Struthio camelus: one gene and its partners. The protein of the gene in region 2 purifies or fractionates together with the protein of the main gene of each other region. This does not show direct contact. Links are inferred from orthologs where the notes say so. Each region holds a gene or a part of one and is shown on either strand. Other genes may lie near its edges.

Region 1 (7,835 bases), on a different chromosome or scaffold from region 2:
ATCACTTACTATAAGGTCATGTGATTCTTGTTTAATGGAGTAATCAAAGCAATCATTCTTGGAGTGCATTTACATGCTAGGTTTGAACGTTTGTAAATGAGATAATAGTCATGTTTTCCATCAGGGGTCCATAGGAGACATTAGTGAAGTCAAGCCATAGTTTCCAAGGTACTTGTTATTTGACAATATCATGACTTCAGTAACATATAAAAGTGCTATGAAGGTAATATTCCACTGGTAGCATATTAAGTATGCTGTAGGACACACAACCAATGGATATAATTTTCAAATGTGTATGGAGAATCAGACTTGACAGTTTTGTTCACAAAGGCAAGCAGCTATTTGCTGAGAACAGATATGACAAGCTATTCATCTTGTTGCTGCTAAGCCAAAGGGATTGCAACTATGATAACAAACTGTTAGATTTGATTGTTAGACTGCTTATGCAACGTTAGTAATGAAGGGTGTTTAAAACCACATCTCATTTGTTCTTGGGCAATCATATAGTATTTCCTATAATAATTTTCCTGGGGCACTTAAAAGGACAAGCCTAATTAAAGAACTGATATCTGTCTGGCTCAGCTGTAATGGGTGTAAGCACCCAAAGTATGTGTGTGTAGAGAAAAGGAGCAGACTTGCCTCTCCGTTCCTCTGCTTGCATGGATTGAGGCAATATGTCAAATGATATAGTCATGTCCTCACACCTTTCAGTTCCTCCGTGTAGGCTGGGCTATGCAGCTTCTAACGCTGCAAAGTCAATACAGCGTTAACCTCATATATGAGGCCCAAAGTGATAGCAGAGAAGAATAAAGCTAATGCCTTGCGCTGGATCTTGAACATAGCCAAATTCAAGCTGACAGGGAGAATGCAGTGATGGAGAGAAGACAACTGGGAGCCCTCTTACATAGAGCTGAGAACTTCAGGGAGTGGAGAAGGGAGTCGCTGGCTCATTTCTGGTTTCAACACGATAGCACTTGCGAGCCAGTTTAACTCTCCGCGCTCTCCTCTGCCATTAGCCCACAGTTCAGACAATACTGGAAAAACACTTTTTCCCAGCACACCTAAATACTTGCAGCGTTAACAGCCCCCAATAACACATTGCTCACAGACTGTCCAACTTTCCTACAGAAATCAAAGCTTATTAAGGAAAAATATACTGCCCCGCGTTCCAGTGCAGGTCCTCCAGTGGGACTACAGAGTCCTGCACCATCTTGTTTGTCAGAGCAGCTGGGCATTTTGGGAGACGGAAAGGAAAACTCAATCTGTTTTGGTGAAATACTGGTCAGAAAGTTTTGCTTAGTGTGTACATGCAGCTCAATGGTCCACAGTACCGGGCATATTCCACTGCAATGGCTAAAGCAGTTATTCTCTCCCGCCATCTGATGCCTATCTTGGCAGGTATAGCTGAGGTGGGATGAGTAGGCAGAACAGGCTACCTATCAGAAAATCATATTTATTTCTCGCTTGTGGATTCAACTGAGGAGTATACTAAAATGCTTGTTGTCAGTGTAGCTGCTGCAGGTTACAGCTTGGCACATTAACGCTGGCTGCTGCTGATTCCAGTTCACACCTCCTGGGCTTTACAGACTGAAGGGACTCAGGAGTAAATACATGCTACTATTCATCCCCATCCCAGCAGATGGGCAAGGTGGAAAGTTGCAGCAGTCAGTACTTCAGTTACCACAGTTAATTCAGCACAACTGCTGCTGTAATTCAGGCATGAGCCTGAATTTTGAAATGCATTTTGACCATTATACATAAGTTTACACAAGCAGGATAGATCCAGGACTCACTTCTTTGCGAATGGCATATTGATTGTCAAAATATAGCTGAAATTCTCTTTCAATGCAAGCAAGCAGGCTTTCGGTTTAGAAGCAGATGTGAGATGGAGCCTCACTGCTGATGGCACATTCAAACAGTGTGAGCAATAGTGACGCGTTATTCGAGGTGAACAGAGCTTGTCTTCAGTAATATTGTGCTTCATGAGAACATGACCTTGAGAACCAGTGTTAACACAATTTTACTGTAAATAGTATCAGCTATTTCTGAGTAAACTACAAATACTGTATTCTTGGGCTCTCTTGCAAGAATATGGATTTAGGAAGTGTGTTTTGCTCGGGGGAACAATGAAAAAAATTGGCAGCTATGATCAGTATGTGGCTTTTTAAAATTGTGTAGCTCATCAACTTCGAAAACTGCAAAATGTTTTACAGGACAGACAAGATTAATCCCTTTCATAATTACTTGTTCTTAGGTAAGTGTAAAAAAGAGTCAGACTGGAACTGGATAATTTTCTGTTCATCTCCAAAGGTTCTTAGCTTAGCTCCAGACAGCCCAACTTCTTATGCACAAGCTTTCTTTTACTCCTATTGAGTAGTCTTGTTAAAGTAGATGAGATTAATCAGGTATGTGCATGTTTATAGAATCAGATTCTCACCTTAGATATTATTTGTAAATCCAGAGCCACTTGGGATGCAGCATTTTAAAATGCAAAGGCCTGCGTACAAGAATAATGATTTAATATGTCCCCAAATGTTGTTCTATGGCCAGGGTGCTGGTTTTTATTAACAGGATTTGGAACATGGTGAAGTCCGTAGGTGTTCATGATCAGCTAAGATCTTTGTTTTGCTGAGCAGCTGGGAGGTCTCTCGTCGCTGCTTTAATGAGCTGGTCATCTGTCTGAGACAGTGGCTAGGTTGTCATTGATCTTGATGGTGAGACTGAAGATCACATTTTAATAGCTGTATCAAAATTAAAAGGTGAGACATTAATTGTGTTATCCTATGTTTCTTCCCAGAGGCAGCAGCTGTGCAGTGTGGCATAATTTAATAAAGCTATCCATCATGTGATGCAAGGGAGTGAAAACGTTACAAGTTAGTAGTGTAAGAAACAGCTTGATAGCTTTTGTTTCATCAGCAAGGACACAACAGAAGGGCTGTACACATATCTAGATTTTAAAAATGTTTGCATAATGAACCGGAATTAAAATATTGTGAAGCCTCTGTTTTGACCAGGGACTCTTTTGGCCAGGACAGACCATCTAATTTGTCATGCCGATGGAGATGAGCTACATTAGGCTACTCCTCCAGTCTCAAGAATGACACACAAAACGCTGGCACCTGCTCTAACGGCGGCACATGAGGAGACATGTCTGTGTATAAAATGTATGGCAAACGTACCTCCTACTGTGTGACTGGCACTCCCTTCAGCATCGGGTGTGGGGCTGGTGTGTGGACTTCTGCCCCAGTGAATAATGTAGTGAGCAGGTCTTGGTAATGCCTTGGATGCATGATGTAGCTTATGTCTCTAGCACACTGGCTTCATTTAAAGCTGCCTGACAGCTCGGGCAGGCTTCTCTATGTTATTTTCTATTTTCTGACTTTTTTCCTTAAACTCAGGAGGCTATCAATCCCATTTCCTTATTGTCTTTGTAAATAAAAAATGAAAGAAACGTATTTTTCCCCTCAAGATGACTACAGCAATCAAGGTTCTAGACACAGTTTTTTTGCCCTTCTCCAATTCAGCCATGCTGATACGTGCAGAGAGCAGAGGTTCCTTTCCAGCCACGTCACAGAGCCCAAGTGCTGCGTGCTCCCTTCTTCCCCACACTCCACACGCATACGCCTTGCAGCAGGCATCTCACAGGCCTTACAGACAATTTCTGGCTAACAGCTATCTGCACCAATATATCGATCGCCTGTTGCTTTAGGGTCCATGCCACATCAAAGTGACTTTGCCTGGTGCCAAGGAGCTCACCAGTAATGCATGGCCTTGACAACCCTGGGACAGTCCAGCTTCGTTTCATCTTCAGCTTCTTAAATGGTCACTTGTAGGTGGTCCTGCAGGCTGAACAACTTTACTTGTTCCCCTTCTATATGGATAGCTGAAGTCTAACTACCTTTTGGGGAAGTCCTTGAACAAGAGTTTATGTCTTTACTAAGGGAGCAGTGAGCAAGGGAGATCGCTCCCCTTTCCACTGTTGTAACTGGCGTGAAGGGATAGCAAGTGTTGACCTGAGTACCTGGATTGAGGAGCTGAAATCAGGCTGGGGGAGGTTAGAGGACGTTTGTGGAAAGAACACTGAAAAGATCTGCTTGCAAAAAAGGGAATTCAAGCCATCAGCGGGCAACTGGATGTGTAAATCATCTGGCGAATGAGTGGCAACGTGTGAAAGAAAATGTATGAACTAACACTGAGCACGGGATAAAGGTGGAGCTGAAATTCATTCTTTATAGTTCAGGTTGCTGCAAAGTGCGGAATGCTAAGAAGCCAGCCTTCACGCTCTCTTCTACCCGCCGCAATAAAAAAATTTAATTTAACAGAGGAGTCAGCAGCCATCTCCTCAGGCATAAACAGGCACCTGAGACAGTGCGTGTAGGCTGACTTCAGCGCTGCATCCGCAGCAGCCTTTGGCACCGGTGAGCGAGGTTTGCATCACAGATCCCAATTACCCTCAGCGGAGCTGCCTCGTGTTTTCCAGGGCCGTAAGAACAGCCTTGCCGAGGCGAAAGGGCGCTGCCGGCAGCAGCCCAGCCCAGCCCAGCCTTGCTCTCCCGGGCACGCGTTTCTCGAACAAAGGCAGCTCGCCTGTGCACGCTGCAGGCACGGGAGGGCCGAGCCCAGCGGGTGGCAGCGAGCCCCAGCCCGGGCCGCGCCGCCGTCCGAGCGCCGTGCGGGCGGCCCGGCCCGGTCCAGCTCGGCTCGGCTCGGCTCCCGCGGCGGCGTGCCGGCAGGAAGCGCCGGCTGCGCGGCGGGCGGCTGCCAGCCGGGCGGCTGCCCCCGCCTCCCCCCCCCGGGTCTCCTCCCTCCGCTGCCGAGCCTCCGCCTCCTCCTCCTCCTCCGGCGGCGGCGGCGGCTCGCTCGGCCCCGGCTCCCTGCTCTTCCCCGCGGCTTCGCCTCGCTGCCCTCCGAGCGGCTCCCGCGCCGGGCTGGCGAGGAAGGTAAGGGCGGCGGCGGCGGCGGCGGCGGCGGCGGCGGCGGCGGGGGGGGCCCGGGCTGGGCGCAGCGCGGCCCCGTCCCGCAGCCGTCCCCCCCCCCCGCCCGCCTCCCGGTGCGGCGCCGCATCCCCGCCGCTGCCGCGGGGGCGGGGAGGGGGCTCCCCCGGGAAGGGGCTGGGAGCGCGGCCGGGGCGAGGCGGGGTGCGGGGCCGGGGGGGGGGGGAGGGAGGCGGCCCCAGGCGCCCACCTGCGCCGGGCGGCGCTGCCGCTCTCGCCGTGGCGGAGGCGCGCGGGGCGGCCGGCGTGGGCGCCGCCGGGCCGCGCAGGGGCCCGCGTAGGTGTCGGCGTGAAAACAGAGCCGACTGCTATCACTTCTGAACTTTGGAGAGGTGGCGGCGGCGGCGGCGGCTGCAGAAGGTCCCCAAGGTGAGGGCAGCCCCGCGGTCGGGTCGGCGGCGGGGTGGGCTGGCTGTTGAGAAATTCCCCCCCTCTGAAGTCAGGGGAAGGTGTATGGCCTAGGAGAGAGAAGCTGAACGTAGCAAGCCGTTTAGCCGCTCGGAGTTATTGTCCTGAGGCGAGGAGAAGCGTGAACTTCCTGCCGTCGGTGCCCTCTCGGCGGGCTGCGGGGCCGAGCACATGGCTCCTTCCGCGGGGTCGGGGTCGGGCGCGCGCCCCGCGCAGGGTCTGCGCGCAGCTGTCACTGCCCGGCGCGGAGTCGAGCCTGGCTGCGGCTGGGCTCCTGACCGCTTTAGTTTCCAAGCGATAATCTGGCCTAAAGAAAACTTTACACGAGGGAAGACTTATCCCAAGGGTATTTCACTTAAATGTCTTTTTTCCTTTTCTTTTTTTGTTTTGTTTTTTTTTTCCTCCTCCCACTCTCTCCCCTCCCCCCTCCCTTGTTCAGACAGGGCTGCGATGACTCTCTCAAATGAAGGGAAAGCAATGAAGTTGCTTAGTTGTACAGTGCTATAAAACGTACTTGAGTGTCTTATGTTCTGATGCACATGGGAGTTCATAGGACAGAGGAGAAGGTTACAACTTTCAAAGAGCTGGCACTGGTGAATTAACTTCTGTGCCATCAGAGCATTAACTTACTTACACTTGAATTCATGAGTAATGGTATGTTGTTCCCTACTATTGCTTTTATTTAGGGTCTGCAATTGTATTTGGATGTTTAAGACAAAATGAAACACCTCCTTTGTGCATAACATGATAGGACTGTTGTGTTTTGTAGGCAGGAAGATTATGTGTGGCTTTAATATAAACTCTTTATCATTTAGCTCTAAGTACTCATTCTGTCTGTCAATCTGTCCCTAATTTTCTGGGTGATTTTTGCAAAGGTCACGTCAGTTCAACTTCCATCTTCTGTAAAATGCCTATTTTGATTTAATATCGTATTGGGACAGATTTGGCATTTATGATTTATGGCATACGAGCTTGAATGTGTAATAAGAACCATGTTTTCTCAAACAACTTGTTCCTGGTTCTGTCTGTGGAGCCCAATTGTTGTTCTTGGTGTGCACCCACCGGGTACCACACAGCTTGACTTGTGTCTAATGCTGTGTCCTAATTATTAAAAAAATGCTTGGAGCTGTGAAAGGGTCAATGTAATCCATACCACACATTTGCACTAAACTGACCTGGAACTAACAGAATAAAACATTTACAAATGCTTTCAGAGTAAAGAAGTGCCATATTATTTATTTGCATCCAACTAATACAGTGAATAGCTTTTTCTGAAAATTGCAGAGCTTTTTGGTGCTGTCATCTTCTTTTTGGAGGATGGGTGAATAAAGCCCCGTTTCTGTAAATGTTTGGCTTGAGTTACTGAGACTGGTCATGAAAGCAGAAGGCACCAGCAGTGCCCTGCGTGCCCACCAGGAAGCCATGCTGACCATGGCCATGGGAGGGGGGCACAGAGATGGCCAGTGGGCCTTCAGGGTATACTGTAGTATACTTTGGGGAGGCAGGGCGGAGCTGCGTTCCCTGGCAAGGCAATCTTACATGGTGGTTTATTGCTTTCATTGCTATTTTGTGTGTCAATATTGAGTTTCCCCTTTGTGGGGTTTTGACCTCTTTGGGCAGGAGATAGCGGGCGGGTGCTGCGCTCTTCTCCTCGCAGCTCCTTCGTGTAGATGCAGATGTACTAGTAATAGATATATATATTTTTTAATATAACTTACTGTTTTGATGTAACTGGTTTGCTGGTATAACCAGCAAATACAGTCAGTTGTAAAATGGGTAAAATTGCCCTCGTGCAATTCACAATTTTCTCTACACAGATGTACTGTATTATAACTTAAAGCTAAGAAGTAAACAGTGTTTTGCAGGTTCATAGAGAGATCATTCACCGTCACCTTGCCAGAGTGGTGCTTTCTGTGTCCTACTTTAGTACTTAGCGCTTACAGTCTTGTGACGTGCTGGCAGTGTCCGATCCCAGGTTGTTGCTGGAGATGATTAGTACAGGTACGGTCTTGCTGTGGACATGAGGTGGTTTTTTGTTGATGTTCTTCTTGTGTTCTTCTCCAGACTTTGGAGAGGTAATACTTATTTAATGAGGCAAAAGAACTAGTCAACTGCTTCAAAAAATAGCTGCATTTATTCTAAAACATACATACATATAAAAGTGTCTTGCTTGCTCAAGGTTCCAGAAGCATATTTGACACACTGCTGGCAAACAAAAGGAAGTTATTGTGTTTTTTTTTTTTTTAGTGTGCTTTCATAGGTATGTTTCCAAGTGGTGGCATGATTAGATTGAAAAGCAGTACACTGAAATATCATAGAGAAAATTTTAGCCATTAATTGCAATGGAATGCTTAGTAACTGAGGCTTAAATTTACAGCCTGCACAGAATTAGACAGCGTAGCTTTGAACTGTGATTAAGGAATGTCTCTGGTC
Region 2 (7,351 bases):
TAGTTAAGGCAAAGAAACAGTTAGCTCTATAACTGGCAGCTGCTTGTTGTCTTCTAGTGACTTACCAACACCCTTGGGTGCACATGCTACAGAGGAGCTATCCCCCCCCCCAAGGGGATGCCATGCCAAAATCCTGCTCGAGAGCCAGCCCACCTCCTCACACCTCCAGGCCATCTGTGCCTGCAAGAGCAAGGGTGCACACTCCATCTGCTCCATCTCAGCCCTAAAGGCGAGAGGGGTGGCGGGAGAGGGGAGAGAAGAGAGGAATGAAAAGGGAAAGGGATACAGAGGCAGTCAAAGGGATGGGGTGGGGTGGGGGGAAGAGAGGAATGGAAAGGGAAGAAGGGTTTGAGAGGCAAAGGGATGGAGAGAGAAAGAGAGGGATGGGGAGCCAGATGGAGGGGAGAGGAAGACAGTGATAGTGAGCTGGGCAGGGGGATGGAAACAAGGAGGAGAGGAATGAAGACCCAGACAGATGGACAGGGAGCTGGACAGAGGGACAGAAAGAGAGGGATGGAGGGCCACACAGATGGACAAAGGGATGGACAGAGGGATGGGGAGCAGGAGAAGAGGGATATCGAGGTGAACAGCGGTACAGAACAAGGAAAAGTGGGAAGGGGTGCCAGATAGAAGGATGGAGCAAAGACAAGACGGTTGGGGAGACAGACTGAGGGAGAGAGTGATAGGGTGGAAAAGAGAGGTGAACAGAACAGCAGCACGGCAAGAGAATAAGAAGGATGGGGAGCCAGAGAGAGTTACAGGGCACCAAACAAAAGGGCTGGGAGTGAAGGAGGGGAGGGGGGGAGACAGGGAGCTGGACAGTGACAGGGAGAGGAAGAAAAGGTGGAGAGTTGGATTTGGGTCATTTGGGCATTAGGAGGAGCTTTGGGCAGGGTTTTTGGAGTATTTGGGGTCTGTGGGGTCACCACAGTCACACTGCGGGCAGCAAGAGGGACCCCAATACAGCATGAGCTACGTTGACATCCAGCAGTGCCAGCAATGGAGCCGAGCGGGTTTTGGGCTGCCTGGCCAGGCCTTGCTGTTTCCCTTAATGGAATCTAACATCATTTGCATTAATTGAGAATAAATTGCAGTCAAGGGCTAGCTTGTGCTTATCTTACTGGGATGGGAACATGGAGTGCTGTGACTCTACAAAACTCAAACAGGAGACTGAGTCTGGCCAGGACAGTGAGAGACATGGGATGCTTTCTCACTACTGCAGACTAACAGACAGCAGGAGTGGCCTGGATTACACACCCACAGCCCTGTGCCTGAGTCACCGACTCAGCAAAGAGGTGTTTGATGTTACTTGAGCCACAACAGGAATCAACAGGATTCTCCCTCTGCTGCTGATCGCCTCTGCCAAGCGTCATCCAGTCTTTGGCACCTGTAACATTGAACAAGACACACAATTAAGACCTTCAGCCTGCTCTGCCATACGTGTATTCTCCAGTAAAACTGTATGTTTGGAATTTCCCCATCGCTATCCAGTTATTTGCATAACAAAATGTCACTCAGTTACATACAAGACTTTAATATTTCTTCTATGCATCTGTCTTCCTGCTTCTCCAATTACAACTCCCAAGTAATTAACCTGGGGTGGCAGTAATTGTGTCTTATTCAAATTGAACTTTTACAACTTTTCTCACGCTTCTTCTGTAGCTCCAGTCACAGGAATATAACTCAGTCAAGACCCCACACAGCAGTCTGTAGAACCAACAGCTTACATCACAACCCTGTTTCACCTTAATGGACACTCACTTTGTTCTTTCACACAGACAGGTACCAGCTGATCCTAGCTGATCCTGCTACTGGAAAAAAACAAACTCAGAAATCACTTCATTCTGCACAGTAAGCCTCTTCCCTCAACCAATTCTTGCCCCCTAGATTTTTCTGGCCTTTGCATTAGCATCTCTTGCCGATAACTCCACCCTTTGGCCCATTCTTCCCACGCAAACATCCTCACTCCCGAGAAACAAGCTCCTTTCTGTCCATATTCCCTGCCATGCCTCCCATGCAGCTTCCCACACTTTGCTGAACTCATCCCAGGGTTTCCAACAGAGTCACTGTTCCCTCAATATACCCACAAGCACACTGGTGAAAATCAGGGGCACAACCTGGAAACTCCATCAGTCAGCTGTGACCGACAGTTCTACTCCTATCTTCAGCTCGCCTCCTACTGCAAAAGAAACAAGGCCAAGACTGGAGGAAAAAAAGACATTTCTTTAATGCATTACATACAGCCTCCTGTCCATTTCCATTTCCATACTAGCACCGCAGCTTCCTCCGCATGCACAAAGTTGTTTACCTAAGCAGGAACCAACGCAGCTTGCATTTTCATGAACACAAGTAGAGCCCCTTGCCTCTGCCATTGCGCCCTAAACCTTCACTGCCTTATGTAACTTGACGCGACCCAAGCAATTCACAATTCACACCTCAACCTGTACATGTGCTTCATTACCCCAACTAACAGAGCTCTGTTTCCTTCCCTGTCTCTGGTTGTCGGCCTCACTTGACCTGACTGCATATGTGCTTCTGCTACTAGTTCTGCCCAGACAGTCAGGACACCCGTAATGCCAAGGGCACACAGAGTGCTCCCCGATGCGTACAACAAGAAGGGCACTACTCTGCTTTTATCCGTTCTAGCACGTACCACACAGCATAGTTTTTCCTCTTGGCGTAGGACGTCGCGGGGAACCACGATCATCTCAGCACTGCCACGGGCCAAAACCCAGAGATCCCATGCATGATAGAGAGACGGCTCAGTAAAAAGATTCCTTCTAGTTTTGAGTCTGCAGTGTTCTACAAGCACTCCCTGAGCAAAACTGACACGTACTTGCACATGATTTCCATAGGCACTAACCACCTTGTTCTTCCTATCAGGGAATAAAAAACGCTCATTTTTTTCTCCGTATTATCTCCATATTTCTCCATAGCACATTATCCCAGCTGCCCTCACCTAGCCCTAACCTTCACCTGCTCACAACCCAGCCATCCTATGAGGCCATGCTCCCTTTCCACCGCACATGACAGGACAATCCCCAGGTCACCCAGATGACTCTCTGTGACAACACATCCTGACTAGAAACCAATTGTTCTGGTATTCGATCATTCTCTATGAAGCAGGACCCAGACTTTGCTCGTGCAGGGAAAGGCACCGTATACTCTGCCCTGCAACTGATGAGGCAAGATGGTGCCGAGAGCTGCCTAATGCATGCATCCTCTGACTCTACTGCTCACTGTGCACTTACACTGCAGGCTCTTAACAACTAAAACACAGGTAGCCATCTAGACTAGTCCTGCTGCTCAGCTCCACTTCTCATCTCTGAGCAGCATACTGCAGCTCTTGCTAGACAGGCAGCTGCAGCTTAGGCCTGGCACACAACTCAGGCATCACTGCCCACGCAGTTGGGACCTGCCGCACCACCCAGGCAGAATGAACCCAAAAACCCTGCAATTCAGTAATATTAGTGGCAGGAAGCAAGTGTCTCCAAGATACAGGCTTTACAGTTTGCTCAGTTACAGGAGAGGGAAAAATTCTCCCTTGCCATTGCACATGGACAGTATATGAAACAACTGTAGTAGGTAGTCAGAGGCAGTCAGAGACTCTTTGCCAAGAAACCTACTAACCGTTACTTTCCATCCCTCTGCCACCCCACACCTCCAGCACATACACCATCCTTAGCACTCCCAGTGCTCTTACATCACAGTCCACTGTCATCTGCAGCCCAGCCATGCTCATTCAGCAGCCCCTGTGCTCACACCAGGGGCTGGCTTCACAGTCTATCTCTTCACTTGCAAATGCAGCTCCCTAGGTGCCATCAGACAAGGCTACTTCTTGATTCATCCAATTTAATAGGACCACTGGCCAGTCAAAAGCAGTGCTTTCAAGCAGCATTGCTGCAAGAAAACGAGAAAATAGGCCTACAGAAACACACTCTCCCACCACTCGTCTCCCACACCCGCACAGACACAGGTGGTTCTCCCCACTCAAGTCACCCTCTACCCCCCAGAAGGCCACAGAAGTGGTCCAGACACTGTTCACAAGCAGGGATGACTCAGATCGCCGTTTCACCACTGAAGTTGGCAGGGCCTGATGGACATGACTCAGACTTTGCTCTAGACACCGCACAGTCACACCAATACTCCTCGGAACCCAGTTCAGCACAGCCGGACTGCCACCTCCACCGCAGAGCCTCCCACGTCTTTACGGAAGAGGGACGCGGCAGGCCGCGGGCCGCTCCCTCCGTCCGGCACGGCCCGACGCAGGCCGCTGGGGCGGGGCGGCCGGCCCAGGGCGCGGCGCGATGCGATGCGGCGCGATGCGGCAGCAGCCAGTGGCGCCGCGAAAGACTCCCCGCGAAGGGGCCTCACGGCCGGCAGCGGCGGCCGAAAACAGCGCGGCAAAGACGCAGGGGGACACGTGACGCGGGCCGGCACCCGCGCGGCACGGCTCCTCGCGCGCGGCGGCGCCTCCGCCCTGCCTGCGGGCGCGCCCCACCCCCGTTGCTAGGGAAGTGAGGTCACGCAGTATGGCGGCTCTGGGCCGCAGGGGCTGAGGTGTCGGGGCTGTGGGGAATCCGCGTCCATCCTCCGGCGGAGCTGCGGCGCTGGTGCCGCCTGCCTCGCCACTGTCGCGCGGCGGGACCAAGGCCGCGATGGCATCAGGAACCGTAGGGCTGTGAGCCGGCAGAGCGCGAGCCGGTAGGGTGGACAGGGCAACCGGGCAGGATCGCGGACGGAGCGAGCTGCCGCTATGGAGCTGCGGGTCGGGAACCGGTACCGGCTGGGCCGGAAGATCGGGAGCGGTTCCTTTGGGGACATCTACCTGGGTAAGGAGGGCTTACCCGGGACATACTTGGCGGGTCTGTCGCTCTGTGGAGAGCTGCGTGAGCCGGGCCGGGCCGGGCCGGGCGCTGCTCGAGCTCCCGCCTGCACCCTGCCCCCCGCTGAGGTTGGGTCGGGGGCTGCTCCCGGGACCTCATTTCATTCTCGCTGGAGCACAGACCAAAAAATGCCTTTCGATATGAGGTACCTTGCCGCTGGTGCAGTAATAACTTAATTTTTCGTTGGCGTCATGTCCTAATTTAGACAGTGCGGAAATCGGGACTTCTGGATTATATGCCTGCCTCTTCCCATTGTTGTCTTGTGACCTTGGGCACCGTCAACCTGCTCATCTGTAAAACGTGGATAAGGATATCAATCCCTTCATCTGAAAAACCATTCAGAAAAATGTTTTGAAATAGAAACGTGACCCTCTGCAATAAATATAATTGCAGTGGACTAGGAGAAATTGCTGTCACAGGGAGGATTATGGTTTTCCAGTGAGGCCTAAACAAATGAGATAACTAAGGATGACTAGATTGGAGCTAAAAACATTTTAACCCCTTCATAGAATCAGCATAGTTCAGCTATCCTGTTGCTTGAATGTTGCCCTTACATCTTAATGCATACATCTTATTCTGCTACCGTGATTTCTATGTGACTGTAAAGTTTGCAGGACTAGGACTGTCTTTTCCTGTCTGTTTTTGTAGCTTTCCATCCTAGTGGTTCACTAACCATTTGATAAGCAGCGGTGTGTACAACAAGTTCTGAAACGTGTGTTTTTAAAACACTCCGTTCTACAAACCATCAAACCTTAGGAAGTCAGGTAAATCCAGACAAATGTAAATTTTATATACTGCCACATGAAAGTGAGCATTTTGCTTTTGAAAGTTGTGATAACTTTCAGAAGGCGCATCCAAAGACATGGAAAAAGACTTACAGGAGCCATGGTAGGTTATCTGCATATGTCTGGAGGGTAAAAAGAATTAGTCACTGGCTAATGCATGTAGTATATTAGGCAGTATACCTAGTACATGAGCTGTCTTTTTTTTTTTTTTTTCTAGACAACAGTGCTTTGTATTGCAGCACACAGTTGCCGTTCTGAAATAACGTTAGTGAAAGCTACTTGTTTACGTTACCCAGATACTGGTTATCCTTGATATAGAACATATGCCTGCTGGAAATTCTGTGTTTCTAGCAGAAAGCTTGTGGATTGTCTAGAGGCAGAGAACATCATTCTTTCTCTCTCTAAGGCTTATGTAAAAGACTGAAGACTGCTGTGAGAACAATGGTGATAAGGCTTATGCAAAATCTTTGTTGGCTACCTTTAGGGTTTTGGGTGGAGATTAAGACAACAGTTAAAATCTGAAAAATCTTAGCTGACCTGGGATACTCTTACCTCAGTTTTTGACTACTCAGGTAAATCCAGTCACATTTAAGTACGGTATATTCATACTTTAATTTGTAATCCAAATTAACTGATAAAAAGAAATCAGGCAACTCTGTTGTTACTGTCCTGTGTGCGGTAGCTAGATTGGAAACGATAGATATTTTGTTTGTCACTTTTATCTTCATGCGTAGAGCCTACACTAGAAAAATTGCACAGGAGATAATAGTTCTGTATTTATTAGTACAGAGCTACTGCCATACTGCATTTTGCACAAGAATTGCTCATCCTTAGATTTTATCCTCTTTGATCTCTGAGGAGTCAGTGTGGATTTGCTTTCGGGGCTTCCTGCAAATGTGATGATTGAGTCAGCAACTAGTAGAGAATTATGTGTCTGAGAGATCCAGCTAATAGTATATATTTCTTTTTCCAGGGGTAATTGCTGTTTCAAGAACTGAAATGTGGCAGTCTTTTATAGAGGCCCATTTTGTTTGCTTAACATAATCTATTAAAACAGAGGTTATTTTTAAAATCTGTGCTGTGTGTGATATGAAACATTTAAAACAAAAAAAAAATAAAGTTTACTCAGTTATTCAAACTGTACAGTAGGGCATAACTACATTAAAATAACTTTTTAAAGCCTCTCAGTTCTCATTAATTTTCTGAAGTACAAATGATTTCCAATATTCCTCATCAGATTTCAGGTTCCCAATTTAATTTTATGCTTAATTCCCCCCCCCCCCCGCCATTTTCCAGTCTTCCTGTAGTTTCTTTAATGAAGTTACAGGGGGTTGAAGACAGTCCATTGAGAAGAGACGGCTCTTTCTTTATGTCTTTTCTTTCAAATATAGAGCTAACCATTCCTGATTATCACACTTCTTTCATAATCTTTCCCATTCTCCCCTGCACCTCAAAATGTGTCTTCCGGAATTTGGAATGCCCCCTAATTGGTAGGGTCCTACCATTCTACCACAATAATCTTAGGCACTATTTTAAATACAAGAATAGACAAACCTAGTGAAAATAAAATTTAGGAATGTAATGTACCTGCATCTATTAAGATTACCCTCCAGTGGAAGATATGAAAGAGTAGCACGAATTACTAGAAATTCTAAATAGTACGAAACAAGGGGCACCATA
Region 3 (7,887 bases), on a different chromosome or scaffold from region 2:
GGTATTAAGAGAGAAAAATGCCATTGGGAATTATGGAAATATTTAACTTCCCAAACACAGCCTGGAAAACAGATGGTAGTAATAACAGTTAAGCAATAATGGCATAATAGGCTAATGGGCCTAAGCGGTCACACAGGAGATAACCAACAATATTTTTCCTGAATAATCTCAGAACCAGTGAAAAGATGCAATTTTAAATTTTGTTTTGCTAAGTAAAGGAGACTTTATTCTATGTCTGATCATAAAAAAAAAAAACCTTCCTTTGAATTAAGTTCAGTTCTCTGCTGCCAGCGCTGAACAACAGTTTTAGCAATTTTGTCTTAAAGAAATTCCAGGATCCTTTCATATTCAAGTCCTTGAAATCCTGAATCTGACTAGTTGCACTCTCTCTTAATTTGTCAGGATTTCTCCTTTTTTTTAAAGTGAGCATTTTAGATACAGACCTGTTTTTATTTGTCTTTACATTTAATTGAAACTGAATCAACATTCAAATGAAGGTTATGATGTTAGATAAATAAAAACCAACGATACTGCCAAAAGCAACTTGGAAAGTATCAAACAGGATTACAGAGCTCTGGAGACAGTGGTCAGGGGTGTGGGGGCCCAGGTCGTTTTCTCCACAATCATGCCAGTGAGGGGAAAGGATGGGAGGAGGAGTAGATGGATACTGATGGCAAGTAAACAACTGGCTGGTGTCGGCAACAGGGTTTTGGTTTCTGTGACTACCGGACCCTGTTTGATGATCTACAACTGACTGGGAGAGATGGGGGTCCACCTCACTAAACAGGGCACATGCATCTTTGCCAACAGGCTGGCCGACCTGGTAAGGAGGGCTTTAAACTAGGAAAGACAGGGAAAGGGGAGAGTTATAGAGACCATGCAGTCAGCAAAACAGGGCTCATGTGGGGATACCTCAAGCGTTTGAGGCACACAAGGAAGTGCCTACAAGACAAGACTATGGGGAAACCTCTTGCACCCCTTCTGGAAAATCAGCATGCTCAAATATCTCTCTGAAGTGCCTGTACACCAATGCATGCAGCATGGAGAATAAACAGGAAGAATGAGAGATCTGTGTGCAGTCGCAGGGCTATGATCTCAGTGCGATTACAGAGACACGGTGGGATAGCTCGCATGACTGGAATGTTGTCAAGAATGGCTACATGCTCTTTAGGAAGGACAGGCCAGGAAGGAGAGGAGGGGGAGTCGCCTTTTACGTGAGAGAGCACCTGGAATGTATTGAGCTCTGCCTAGGGATGGGCGATGAGCTTATGGGTTGAGAGCTTATGGGTAAGGATTAAGGATCAGACTAACATGGGTGACACTGTTGTGTTGGCTACAGGCCACCTGATCAGGAAGTGGAAGTAGATGAGGCCTTCTACAGACAGCTGGAAGTAGCCTCACGATCACAGGCCCTGGTTCTCATGGGGGACTTTAACCACACTGATATCTGCTGGAGGAACAACACAGCAAGGCACAAGCAATCCAGGAGGTTCCTGGAGACCATTCATGATAACTTTCTGACACAGACAATGGAGGAGCCAATGAGGAGAGGCGTGCTGCTGGACCTTATACTAACAGACAAGGAAGGGCTGGTTGGAAATGTGAAGGTTGGGGGCAGCCTTGGCTGCAGTGACCAGGAGATGGTGGAGTTTAGGATCCTGTGAGGAGGGAGCAGGGCAGCAAGTAGGATCACAACCCTGGACTTCAGGAGAGCCACCTCTGGCCTCTTCAGGGACCTTCTTGGAAGAATCCCATGGGATCGGGCCCTAGAAGGAAGAGGGGTCCAAGAGAGCTGGTTCATATTCAAGGATCATCTCCTCCAAGCTCAAGAACGGTGCATCCCAATGAGCAAGAAGTCCAGCAAAGTGGGCAGGAGACCTGCATGGATGAACAAGGAGCTCCTGGCAAACCCCAAACAGAAGAAGGAAGCGTACAAGAGGGGGAAACAGGGGCAGGCCACGTGGGATGAATACAGGCACGTCGTCCAAGTATGCAGGGATGCAACTAGGAAGGCCAAGGCCCATTTGGAATTAGATCTGGCAAGGGATGTCAAGGACAACAAGAAGGGCTGCTTCAATTACATCAGGAACAAAAGGAAGACTAGGGAAAAATGTGGGCTCGCTACTGAGTGAGTCAGAGTCCGCGGTGATGAAGGATACAGAGAAGGCAGAGATACTGAACGCCTTCTTTGCTTCAGTCTTTATCGCTAAGACCAGCCCTCAGGAATCTCAGACCCTAGAGACCAGGGAGAAAGTCTGGAGAAAGGAAGACTTTCCCTTGGTCGAGGAGGATTGGGCTAGAGATCATTTAGGCGAACTTGACACCCACAAGTCCATGGGCCCGGATGGGGATACACCCACGAGTGCTGAGGGAGCTGTACACTTCCTTGGCTGAAGGTACACACCTACAACTGGAGCAATCAGGGTAGTTTAGATATATTATCACACTCTCAGACATAAGCTGCAATAAAGGAAATTCCAGTTAGAGCTTAGAAAAAAAATTCACCATGAGGGTGGTCAAGCAGTGGAATAGGAGCCCAAAGAGGCTGTGGGATCTCCATCCTCAGATATACTCAAAAACCCAACCAGACAAGGCCTTGGGCAACTTGACCTATCTGGTCACATTGAATGGGGGCACTGGATTAGATGACTCCCAGAAGTCCCTTCCAATCTAAGTTATTCTATGACTGTATTCTGTGATTTCTTTCTGAAGTTAAACTCTCAGGTAATAGCAACAATGACTAATACTTTTTCCTGTGTTTGATTATCTAGAGGATTCCATCCCATCCCAGTGGATGATGACTTGACCACAATTATTCAGGCTTTTGAACAACTGCACGAACCAATCAGGCCTTAGAGACTAACTTCACAGAATACAACAGAATATTTCCTTAGCAATGTGTTAACCACAAGAACATCAAACTGGCCAAGTACTCTTTGCACTGTCTTCTCTTGGATAAACACCAAATTCTAAGCTGTGTTCCTTACCTTCAAGGTGTGCACACAGAACATACAAAAATCACCTGATATTCTAGGTTGTGATAGAGACTGTCATAACCATCCCAGTGGCACAGCAGCACTTTCTATCAGAGCACAAATTTGCTTATTCCTACTTATATTTCAAAACACACTTCTTTGATCTTGCCTTTTCTAACAAAGTTAGCAACCTCCAGATTGTAAACAAGAACAGAACATAAAAGCCCTATCAAAGAAAATATTCTAGGATATACACAATTATAGCCATGAGCAGAGGAAGAGAAAAGAATAAGACACAGTAGAGAATTCATTCACACGATAATGTGCTACTGGAAAGCAGATACTTGAAGCTGAAATCACTGAAAGATTAGGAAATGACGGAATTAAGATGGTCTATCTGTATAGATGGCCATCCACTTTGCATTCCTTATATCCCCACTTGCTAGAGACTCTAAAAGGTGTGATTCCTGAAATCTTGAACTAAGCACTGAAAGCGAGTGGGCCATTTTAAATTTAATATTCCTGCTCCAGTTCCTTTCCTTCAAAATAGGGATAATCACACCATCACAGTCCAATTGAGTACTGAGAAGTTAATTAATATTTGCGAAGCATTCCAGTAGCATACTGATGAACAGCATGGCAACACCTACATGGAAGTTAATAACTCTGTTCAATGTGGTGTTTAAATGCATGTGGTGAATAATGCCCAGGGCAACACAGTAAAGGACGATTGAAAGCTGTGACATGATGCACATACTTTTGGGCAGAAATGAGAGACAACAGATTCATGACCCTTAGACAACCTTAATCTAGATTATTTTCCAAATTCTGAGGAACCCCCACCATGGCACCTTAATATTAAACTACGTTTTATAATACATATATTAACCTATCATACAGGTACATGAATAGATGGTAGGAAGCACCACTTGGGAGTGCAGCTCATGGGATGTGAGGGTATGCACTAGCTGTTCTGCATGTGCGTATTCGCTACACGCTGACAATACCACGCGTGCGGCAGGTCTTTCTGCAGTGCTTGTCCCTCAGCCACCAAACACCTAGACCCCCTCCTCCGCTGTCTCCTGCTGTAGGGTCTCTTCTGGTTGTCTGTGCAACTTTCAGCTGCAGGCAATCAGGTGCTACCGGCAGGATGAGCTCTGTGAGGCCGAGGGAGGCAGGGCCGCCGTGGCCCGGCAGGCAGCAGCGTGGCCCCCGCTGCGCCCATGACATGGCGCCCGCGCCGGCCCGCCCCGCGCTGCAGTGCCCGGGCCCGCCAGAACCGGGCTGCCCGGGCCTGAGTCACCGCCGCCGCCCTCGCAGCCGCCATCGGTCGGGCACCGCCCGGCACACCAGCAGCGCCCCGGCTGCCAGGCTGAATAAGATAGAACATGAAAGGCAAAGTAACAGGCGTTGCCGCGCCCGGGGCTGCGGGGAATCTCGCTTAACCCTTCTCTGCCTGTGCCAGCAGCCGGCCCCGGCCCCCTTGGGCTCAGGGCGAGGCCTGCTCCCTCCCCATGCCAGCAGGCCGCCGTGCCAGCCCGGCTGCTCCTCTGTCAGTGAGGCCAGGGTGTGAGCGACGGGCCATGGTGGGGAGCAGGGAGACGGAGGGACTGGGGTGCTACACCCTGAGATGCCCTTCGGCCACCTCGCCCCCCGGCAGAGGGAGGCCGTGGGCCCTGCGCCCCCAGGCGCTCCTGCTGCCATGCTGCCACTGCCCAGTTAGCCAGGCCAAACCGCAGGCAGAGCAGACCCTAGAGTCCCTGCCGAGCCCACTCCTCCTTCCCAAGGTGGCTGCTGGGCTGCGCGGCGCCTGGGCCAAGGAGGCGACAGGGTCTGCGCCCCGTCGCCAGTGCTGGGCCGCGCTCCCCGGCCTGCTCCGCGAGCCAGGCCCGAGCTGGTCTGACAGGCTCAGCGCAGACGGAAGGGGAGAGGCAGCCTGCGGCTCAGGAATGTGCAGCCCTTATCTCTCGCTCCCCTGCAATCCTGGGGAGGGAACAACTCTCCAGAGTTTGCCTTTCTCTCGCTCTTACTCACCCTCTGCCCTGGGTGGAGCTTGAGTCTCGCTGGCTAGGAGGTGCCTGTGAATCAGGCAGCACGTCCAGGGGAGCGGAGAGCCGAGAGCACGACCCACCACCTGCCCTGGCTCACCTGGGAAGGTAGGAGAAGTGCAGGCACCCCCTGGGGTACGTGAGTGGCCACATGGGGCAGCAGGCAGGGGCTGGGGAGGCCTTGTCCTGACCCCTCTGCACAGGTCTGGGCGCTCGGGATCTGGGGCTGGGACTCTGCAAGCGGTCTGGGACAGGAGATGGCGAGATGGCTGCTGCTGCAAGGGGGAAAAGCTCTGGCAGCAGGAGCTGCCAGCCATGCCTTGACTGCCCTGGTGTGACAGGGTGAGTCCCAGGAGGAGATGGCAGAGGCAAGGGCGGAGGGAGCATGTCATAGCAGAGATGGCAGGCATCGTGGCTGGCGAGGGAAGAGACCTGTCAGCCTTCAGGTAGCCTGAGCAGAACCGCTCAGTGAGCACTTCACCAAACCTGTGTCCATGTCCTTTGAAAAAGCCCCGAGGAGTGGCTATTTCCTAACTTATCCCTGTCCTTGGGAGGAGATCAGACAGCCTGACTCTGCATCCCAAGTTAGAGTCGGAGCTGGCCTTCTCCTTGAGTAGGAAACACTGTAGGGACATCTGCTCAGGAGGTTGGGACAAAGAGGACTTCACTGGTGGTAGGGCTGGAAAGGCCAAGGCATGAGGTAGGCAAGGAGACAGGAAACAGCTACTGAGGCCCACTGCTCGTTTACTTGCATTGACCTCGCTCCACATGCATGGGTGTGTAGTTGCCTGCTGACATGGCCTGCAAGCAGCGACACAGACATTCGTGTGCGTACATGCAAAAGCACAGACAGATGCGCATGGACACATGCATGCACAGGCACACACGCATATACTCACTACCTTTTTTCCACAGATATGAGCCTGTCTGATAGAGCTTAGGTTTTCTATGTGCACAGAGAGGAAGGGGAAGGTCTTGTGTTCCTGGCACTCTAAATTGATTAAGGTCAATGGAGTTCAACTGTGGCTTTTGCCTGGCCCGAGGACCAAGCTTCTCAATTTTCTGAAACAGTTAGAGGGAGAGGAGGTGCTTGGAGAGGAACAGCAGTATTTACAGTGACATTCTTCTGCTGAAAACATTTAATTCATGAAAGCTGCAATAAGCTCAGCTGTGATAGAGGCCAAAGATAAATGAGTAACTGCTTTAAGCAACAAACTAGCTCCAAAGCAGAGTAGTGACAAATACAGTGCAGAACACTGGTGGCCCCAGATTTCTTGGCATAGCCTACAATAATATGTGTATTCATTGGACAAGGAGTAAAATAGCAAGCAGACAGAAAAACCATAGCATGCCTTCACCATGTTACAGGTCTACAGGACTTCAGGGTGGGGGAAGAAAGATTTTTTTCCCGTGTGCTCCCCTTTATCTGAGGGGCTTTAGAAAATTGTATTTGAGAGACCAAGAGCTGTATTTGCTGTCACCTGGCAGGGGAAATGGTGATATTCGGTGGGGAACAAAAGTTACAATAACTGTGTGGTTGTAGAGAAAATCGCATATCAAAGTAAAAAATGAAAATGCCACGCACCGCAGTCTGGTCTGATTGTGCCAGGGCATTGTCATGGCTCAGGACAGAGGCATCTATGTTCTCTACCTCATTTTTCACGTAGTCACAACTTTCTAAGCAACTAAAATCCACGTCAAAATCTTGCAGGATTGGACTTCTTTGTATTTTATGGGTAAATGGAACACTTTTCAACTGCTTATCAGACCCCATTTGGCAGGATTATCATAGCCCTAATGAAGGAGTTCCATGAGTGGCTTTCTACAATGTAATTGGGGATGGGGGCGGAGGGTAAAAGGCCAAGGGCAGCACGCAGTGGGGAATTTCCTTCTGCAAACTATACCTTACATTGGTGGACCTTTTCTTGCAGTTCTCTTATGGACTTCCTTATACCTCCTCTTTAGTAGATATAAATCCAATGAAGGGGATTGATTGAAATAGGGTAAGCTTTGCATGAGTGTTGTTATCTCTTTAGGTAATCTGCTTTCTGTAGAGGCCCCTTTTGCATGCAGAATCTAATTTCCCCAGTTTTCAGTGTGCAGAAAGTAACTAGCTGTAAACATCAGGTTTTGCCCTAGTGGCTGTCTGCCTCCTGGATTTGCGCATGCCACTGCATACTCTTTATTGCATAAGACAGTTAGGATTGACATGCTGTCTCAACAACCACTTCAAAAGGAAAATTACGACATGTAATTTTTCTGCTACTTTTCTCTTCCTCTGGCCTGTAGGTAGATCCCTGGACATTCTAAATATCTGGGTAATTTCCTGATTCTCCAGCAAATAACATTTTGCGGGATCCTTTGCACTGACTAAAAAGCAGACGTAAGTGGGAGTCCAGCAGGGGTTCTGATGTGCTGACTAGGCTCCCAGTTCTGCTCTGCTGCATGCCTATAGTATTCAGTACATTCACTGCTCCCCTTGGACCCTGAAAGAGTTTATTATACCAGTCCATAGGGTTAGCTGGCAAATGCACGTAATATGGAAGATAAAATGGTAATCTGTTGGATGCTCAGTGATTGACGTGATTACATGAATTCAAGTAATTTCTCATCTGATGACCATGACTTCAGATAGAATGAAACTCCTAGACTACAGCAGGCAGATATATCCTTTTTTTAAATGATGGCTGTGATTCGTGCAAAACCATCTAGAGTGAAGAATGGGACAGCCTTCACTCAGATGCTCTAACTTAGGGTGATCAGTAGAGGCTGATCAGATGACCAGAAGAGAAGGCTTTGGGTTGTTTATGTGACATTTTAACAGGAAAAACCAATTGCAATATTTTCATCTTTCAAACAGAAAT
Region 4 (7,012 bases), on a different chromosome or scaffold from region 2:
TGTGAGCTTGGTGAACTTGAAAATAACCCTATAGTAAGAAAAATGGCACTGCACTTTTTTGTTTCCCACTTCTTTGACAGCTTTAGATGGTGTAATAAATAGAAATACGACATCATTATTAAATAATGTAGTTCTAATAGAAATGGATTTGATTTATATTCCTTCTGTCTATCGATGCAATTCCAAAATGTACTTTTTAGTCAGTTTAGTCAGATGATCAGGAAATTCCCAGTAAAATGGGGCAGGCAAAATTTAATATTAATGAGAGTAAAAACAGAAAAATGACTGTTAAGAAACATTATAAACTACGAATTAGCTAGTCCAAGTTTTAGCACCTAAAAGAGAAGAGGAGGAAGCAGCCCAAGTCATTTTTTTTTCTTTCACAGACGATTCTGAAATATCTCAGTATTCTTTATTTAGGGTCACCAACTCTTTCTGTGCTGTCAACCTGATGCCATTTATGGGGCATCTCAGTAGGCCACATAAAGAATCACAAAATAGCAACCTCTTTTCTTCATGGGTAGACCGATGGCTCCTCGGGCCACTACCTGCATCTGCACCATTGTACTTGGACGCACCAGGACAGGTAGAAACATCCCCTAGGACAGACAGGACAGACAAACAGCAGTCTGCCAGTTCACTTTACCTATTAAAGGTACCCAATGTTAGCTAAGAGACATAGTGAAAGAGAAGCTTACAGGATTAGAAAACTTCTTTCAGTGAAAAAAGGGGAGTTCCTCACAGGTTTCCCCCCAAACCTCCTTGGGAGTTACCTCAGATTCTCTCACTTCCTGCAAACAGGCTGACCAACATACGTCCAAAAACTTCTCACCCCGCTGCCCTGGCCCATCTGATGGACAGGAGGCAGTTGGACACCCAAGTTCTGACATTGGAAAACAACATCTTTCAAGTACCAGGTCAGAACAGGAATCTTTCCAAAGTGGTGCTCAAAAGATTGGCTCAAGTTTATGAACAAAAAAGCCAGAAGTGATCTAATTTCATTATACAATACTTTTTATCTAGTGAAATCTCTAATTTCCTTGTTTTTCTCCTTGACTGCAGCCTCTGGGAATGGGATAGCCACTATCATCCTCTGCCTTTCCTCATCTTTCCTCATTTTTTTCTGAACTCTGTTTTGTTCTTCTAGGCCTTGATCCTGCTTCTATTGCAGAAAACAGCAAATCACACATAGCAGCACTGAAGCTAGACAAATACTTATAGTCTCTTTTATCAAGATACCATCTTGCGCAGGTAGATACATTTCCCGAGAATTTGCTGGAAGTCCTGGTATCTTTTCACTTGTGGCCAAACGATACAGAACCTTGTGTACCCTTTCCCCACTCTCCAGCTTAACATATATGCATTTCTGTTAGCTTTTAATGTATTTAGAATTACTCAAGAAAACAACAACACGAAAGAGCAAGATGTGCATATCACTGGATCTGCACTTTTTGTTTATAACCATCCTGCACGTTTCACTGAACTGCTGAGCTATTGAACAAACCAGGTTAGCTCGGGCAGTGGCTCTACACGGGCATTTGCAGCAGACGTGCCTTTGTTGCTTTGGTAGGCCCAGGTTCATTACTCACACTGTCTGCCTGTTACCCTGCAAACTCCTGGTGAACCACTCTCTCTTCCCTTTGTATTTTAAGGACCTCACGTAACTCTCTCCAGCTACTTTCATTTCATGCCACTCATTTCCTCTGTTAGAAAGACTGCTTCCCGCATGATCCTTTCCTCTTATTTTTCGTATTTTTTTTCTGCTGTGGGAAATAAATTATTCAGGGCGTCAACATACTTGCACTGGAACTGAGATGGAGGTAGTTACAATGAAATGCTAATAACTGCCAGGAAAATTACAGAGTTGTTCAGAGCCGTTAGGTCTGCCAAGCAGCTGCCAGCAGCACTACGTGTCTCCCCTACTCTTCTTCCAGTTTACTGATTTTCACCAAAATAAATAGGGCGTTGTTCTTCAATTCCCAACTTTCAGAAAACGTTCCTGCGTTGATTGGATGTGTCATTCAAAAGTAATCACGTAACAGACAAAGAAACGGAGCAATGTTTTTAAGTTGGATGCAGTGGCTTTTGATGCATGTTTAGGGTGTGCTTCAACATTACATTTTATCTGTTGGCACGTACCTCTGTTGTGTCAACGTAACTCCGTAGGGAGGCTGCGCTATAAATGAGATTGCTTCTATGAACACAGATTATTTCACTGAGCTGGCTTGCAGTGCAGTCTCACAAAAAGTTGTATCAGTAAAACTCATCACTCCCACAATTTTAGCAAAGGGACATACGTGTGTAGTGGTGATGAACAGGAACCCCATCAAGAAACTTAACACCAGAGAAATTGCGAGTTGGAAGCACATCCTTAATTAGTGATCACTGATGCCGTTAAGATGTTTCTATCCCTTACCTGTTTACTACCTTCTCTCAGTTACAGGGTAACATCTCACAGTTGGTGAATTTAAACTGCCGAAGAACAGTTAAAAATTCTGTTTTAGTATGAGCTGTGGAAGTGGTGACCTTCATCATAAGGGTAAAAACAGTCCGCACTGCTTCAACTGTTTGTGAAGTGTATACAAAAGTATGGGCTTTGATTCAAGAGTGAATATGGCATAGCTAGTGAGGTGATGGTTTATCTAAAACCACAGTAGATTCATGATTAACTCATGGGTATACTGGAGGCAGAACGGATAGCTAACTCATCATGTACTGCAGCCTCAAGGCCTTGATTAGCTCAGACAGATTTCAACTGAAATACTGCCACTGTAGTCTGAGTGATATTCAAGATTTTACTGTTTAGGCCCTGCTTCACATGAACCTACTTCACATGCCAGATATTGCTTTCTTCTCTGTTGTCAGCTGTATAACTGCACTGTACAGATTACATGCAGAATTTTAAGTTTTCATGAGGAACATAAAACTTAACAGGCACATCACAGACCTTTTAAAAAAAACAGATGAAGAGGCCTTTGTAAGAGCTTATTCATTATCTATATCAAAGCAATGCCTACAGGCACTGCCTATTGCACTTCACTGAAAAAAACATAGGCCCATGCTCTATTCCAGATCATCCACATGCCAAACCTTAAGGAATCTATTAATTTATGCACCTCAAGATGCAGGTCCAAGGCATTTGCTTGCAGGAACAACCCCTCAAGACATCAAATCTTTACGGGCTGTTGGGGAGGGCTATTTCTCTATAATCCATGTATAGAGAAGGGTTCTGGGCATGCAGAAAGCCAAAGATTTCCTTTACTATTTCCTTTATTATTAACTTTATTCTCACTTCCAAAACTGTGAACCTAAGCAGCACCTCACTCAAAAGCCAAACACTAAAGGTGTTTCTTTATTAACACATGGGAAAGGACACGTTTGCCACCACAGAGATTCACCCCCAACGTTCGCTTGCTGCAGTCTCTCACCAACACAACGACAAATTGCAGAAGGGGGCTTGGCTGGAGCCGCACAGCCAACGGCAGCAACACGTCTTTGGGATTCGTTTCATTACGGGTTACAGCCCCCCCCCCCCCAAACAAAGCAGCCTCCCTCAGGTTTTCTACCTCAGTAAGTTAAGCCAACGCGGCAGAAGGACCGGGAAGGCCTGTTTCTCTCCCTCCGCGTGAGGAAACGGCAGACACGGCTGCTGGACCTAGAAGGCTTTGCTGCCTCCACATCCCGCGCCTCCACCGCCCCGCCGCTCCTCGCTGCCCCCAGCCTTTCCCCTCCCACCGCCCATGGCAGCCCCGCCCAACCTCCCTAACGGCCGCCACCGCCCCGCCCCGCCTCGCCCGCCGCCTTTAACGGCTGCCCCCGCCCCGCCCTGCTCCAGCGCTCGCGCGCGCGCAAGAGCTGCCTCAGCCCCGCCCCCTCCCAAGTTCAGGCCCCCCCCCCCCCTTTCCCGCCCGCCCTCTCCTGGCAGAAGACGTGAAGCTCCGCCGGCTTCAAGCCCAACATCCGGCCCCGCCTCGGTGCTCCCACCAAACCGCTCCGCCCGGCGCTCTCGCAGAGCCGGAGGCGGCGGACGCTGGAGGCGAACACAGGCGCCGCAGAACCCGGAAGTGCCTGTGCGGCGGAGCCGGAGCGGAGGGGCAGCCCGCGCGGGGCTCCCGCGCCCCCGCCGCCGCGGTGAGGGGGCGGGCGGCGGCGGCGGCGAGGCTTCCTCGGGGGGTGGAGGGGAAGGGAGGCGCGGGGCGGGGGGAGTCCGCGGCGGGGCGGGGGTCGGGGGGGAGCGGTGTCAAACGGTAGCGTAGGTTCGCCTCGGGTTCTGGCGTGTTTTGGTTTGCCCCGAAGCAAGGGTGGCTTCAAGCTGAACGGCGTTTTTGCTAGGTGTATGTTACTCGAGGTGTAACGTCGGTGACATGTTTCTCAGGTGATGTTTTAGTGTGGCCCGCACTAGTTAAAAGTGGCAGGGCTTGTATGGATCTACCTGTAATAATTCTTAAATTTTATGTGAAAGCGTGGTAAACTGTCCTCTTGCTTCTGTGTTTCTGTTTTTTTTTCTTTTGATTATAAACATGCCTGTTACTAGCTCTAATATATATAAGCTGGAAATTAATGAATGCAAGTAGATCTGTTTTCGTCTTGAAATAGATATAGTCTTTATGTGTAGGTTTGTGTATATGTGTTTGCGCACATACTCTGTTTAGAAAGTGGAATTTGAAATATACTTTTTCATATTGCCAAACAATGTGACTGTTGCTTTATTGTAAATTATACTGACAGATTTGTAAGTAATATCTCAAAGGTTTTTTTTTGTTTTGTTTTGTTTCTTTTCCCTGGTGCTTTACCTGCAATACAGAAATCTTCCAGAATGCTGGAGTCCTATGTAACTCCTATTTTGATGAGTTATGTGAATCGCTACATAAAAAACTTAAAGCCTTCAGATCTACAGTTATCGCTCTGGGGAGGAGATGTTGTTCTTAGTAAACTGGAGTTAAAATTGGACGTACTTGAACAGGTATGATATGTTTACAGTTATGCAATATGTCTTTGATTTAAAAGAAGTTGACTAAATAATTTACATTGGTCTGCACAGATAAACATTCATTTATTACTCATGGTGTTTCTTCTTATGTAGATCTCTCTCTTTTTTTCCCCCCTTCTCATTTAGTTATTTTTGTGTTAATTCCATGCCATTTGTTTAATTATGAATGGTAATCTTTTGCATATTCTGCACGTTATGGAGCGTGAAGAGAAAGGCTTTACGTACACGTTTCTTCTTTCAGTGAGCATTGTTTTACAGTACAAACATTTAAATTGCTTTCCCAGTTTTATTTTACTAATTGCCTATAGTAACTAATTCAAAATGTAACAAACTGAAGTAGGACCTCTTTTAAATTATGCATACTAAACACAGATTCTTGTTCTATATAGTGTTTTATGACTCCAATTTTTATCATTCCAGTTGTGTCTAAACATAACAGTAGTCAAGTAGATAGTTTTTATCAGCTAATTTGCGTGAATTCATTCAGAGGCGCTGTAAAACTTAGCCTTAAAAAGAGAATGTTGACGAAATAAAACACCTGATATCAAATTTTGGAGCCTGTGGTTAATATGAACAGGGTAAGACTTACCTTGAGGGACTATTTCCTTCTATCCTTATCTGAGCTCATAGCTTGAGGAGTTGCGTGTGTGAGACAGATAAAGCTGTTCTCTACTGCACGTGGGACAGCGAGTCTTAGCTAGAGTCCTGGGTCCAGATGTAGTCCAACAGAAGGAGGTGCGAGAAATGCAACAAAAAGTAATAGGAGATTTAGACAATATGGCCTGTGAAAGAAGACTGAAAAAGACAATGATTGTGTTTTAATTTTGGATAAAATAAGGTGAGAATTTTTAAATGTATATGTCCTAGAATTAAAGAAGTGTTGAATGGAAGGAAGTTCTGGAGGTCACCTAGTCTGACCCCCTGCTCTGAGCAGGACTGCTGCCACCATTAGGTCAGGTCAGCTGTGGTTTTGTCAGCTTGAGTCTTGGAATCTCCTGCCTTGATTGTGAAAAATTCCTCTTTGGGTAAACTGTTCCAGTGCTGTAGTACGCTTCCAGGGAGAAAGTTTGTCCTAATAACAAATGGTGACTTGAAGATGAATGTATTAGGCTTGCTGTATTACCTGACCATACTAAAAGTTTGCCTGTGTCATCTGTGTAGTTGCCTTTCAAAAAGTTGCAGTCTGCTGCTTAGGTGCCCCCAGCCTCCTCTTTGCCTGCCTGTCTAATAATTGGGTATATAGATATCCAGTGCAGTGTATTGCTGTCTTAGCTCTTGTTATATGAAGCAAATCTTGCTTCACATACCTTTGTTCAACTCAAATTGGCTTGAATGGGGATGCGAGTATGTAGTGAATGCAAAGTTGAGCTCAACAAATTTCTTAAAAATATTGTTTAGCTAAGTGTTTATTTGAAATGCAGTGGTCTGAAGTTGGCATTTACAACACTTTGGAGCCTGCACTGGACCCACAGAGTGTTGTTAGGGTGTCTCTTGCAGAAGTGATGCTGCTTTATGCCTGCCTGACCAAACTCATTTTCAGTATGTTGTACATGGTAATGTTGCATCCCGCAGTCTTTGCGGCTGGCAGGGAACTTGCTTAAAATGCTAAAGTCTGTAGAAGTTACCAGTATACGTTACTTTATTTGGGTTGTCTACCTCTATGGAGCCAGGATATCCAAAGTTAGTCACTTTCCCTGTGATTATCTTTACTTTTAAAATCCTTTCTATCCTGACTCCCTGCTCTTTATCTGGTATGAATGCAGACTTAATTACATGAGTTAGTGATATCAAGGGCATATGCATTTGTGTCCAAAGCCTGTCTGGAGTTGTGAATATTTTTTGGAAGATTCCAGCCTTCTGTGGAGCTATACATGACTGTTTGGGAACATTAGCACAGCTGACAGATTACCGGGACAAAGCACCTTATATCAGATCTGGGAAGAGATCTGTGTTTTCTCCCCTGACTCCTTGCAGTTGCGCAGATGATGCTGGGGCGCCTGTTATCAGGCCAACCAGAATTCC

Evidence for each region.
Region 1: the proteins of CSNK1D (region 2) and FAM110B purify together in Homo sapiens (affinity purification with mass spectrometry; 3 studies listed by BioGRID and IntAct, counting the BioPlex papers as one, with this or other methods). This does not show direct contact. The link is inferred for Struthio camelus from reciprocal best matches to the Homo sapiens genes CSNK1D and FAM110B.
Region 3: the proteins of CSNK1D (region 2) and FAM83H purify together in Homo sapiens (co-immunoprecipitation; 5 studies listed by BioGRID and IntAct, counting the BioPlex papers as one, with this or other methods). This does not show direct contact. The link is inferred for Struthio camelus from reciprocal best matches to the Homo sapiens genes CSNK1D and FAM83H.
Region 4: the proteins of CSNK1D (region 2) and VPS13B purify together in Homo sapiens (affinity purification with mass spectrometry; 3 studies listed by BioGRID and IntAct, counting the BioPlex papers as one, with this or other methods). This does not show direct contact. The link is inferred for Struthio camelus from reciprocal best matches to the Homo sapiens genes CSNK1D and VPS13B.

What each region holds. Positions count from the first base shown.
Region 1 is NC_090943.1:136,081,393-136,089,227, reverse strand, and holds the start of FAM110B (protein FAM110B), read left to right. Parts: upstream 1-4,823; 5' UTR 4,824-4,940; intron 4,941-5,185; exon of another isoform or gene 5,186-5,363; intron 5,364-5,846; exon of another isoform or gene 5,847-6,056; intron 6,057-7,835. UniProt on the Homo sapiens protein: May be involved in tumor progression.
Region 2 is NC_090960.1:59,055-66,405, forward strand, and holds the start of CSNK1D (casein kinase I), read left to right. Parts: upstream 1-4,341; 5' UTR 4,342-4,756; coding exon 4,757-4,832; intron 4,833-7,351. UniProt on the Homo sapiens protein: Essential serine/threonine-protein kinase that regulates diverse cellular growth and survival processes including Wnt signaling, DNA repair and circadian rhythms. It can phosphorylate a large number of proteins.
Region 3 is NC_090943.1:173,551,193-173,559,079, forward strand, and holds the start of FAM83H (protein FAM83H), read left to right. Parts: upstream 1-4,884; 5' UTR 4,885-5,131; intron 5,132-7,887. UniProt on the Homo sapiens protein: May play a major role in the structural organization and calcification of developing enamel. May play a role in keratin cytoskeleton disassembly by recruiting CSNK1A1 to keratin filaments. Thereby, it may regulate epithelial cell migration.
Region 4 is NC_090943.1:147,101,168-147,108,179, reverse strand, and holds the start of VPS13B (intermembrane lipid transfer protein VPS13B), read left to right. Parts: upstream 1-4,011; 5' UTR 4,012-4,131; intron 4,132-4,804; 5' UTR 4,805-4,816; coding exon 4,817-4,963; intron 4,964-7,012. UniProt on the Homo sapiens protein: Mediates the transfer of lipids between membranes at organelle contact sites. Binds phosphatidylinositol 3-phosphate. Functions as a tethering factor in the slow endocytic recycling pathway, to assist traffic between early and recycling endosomes.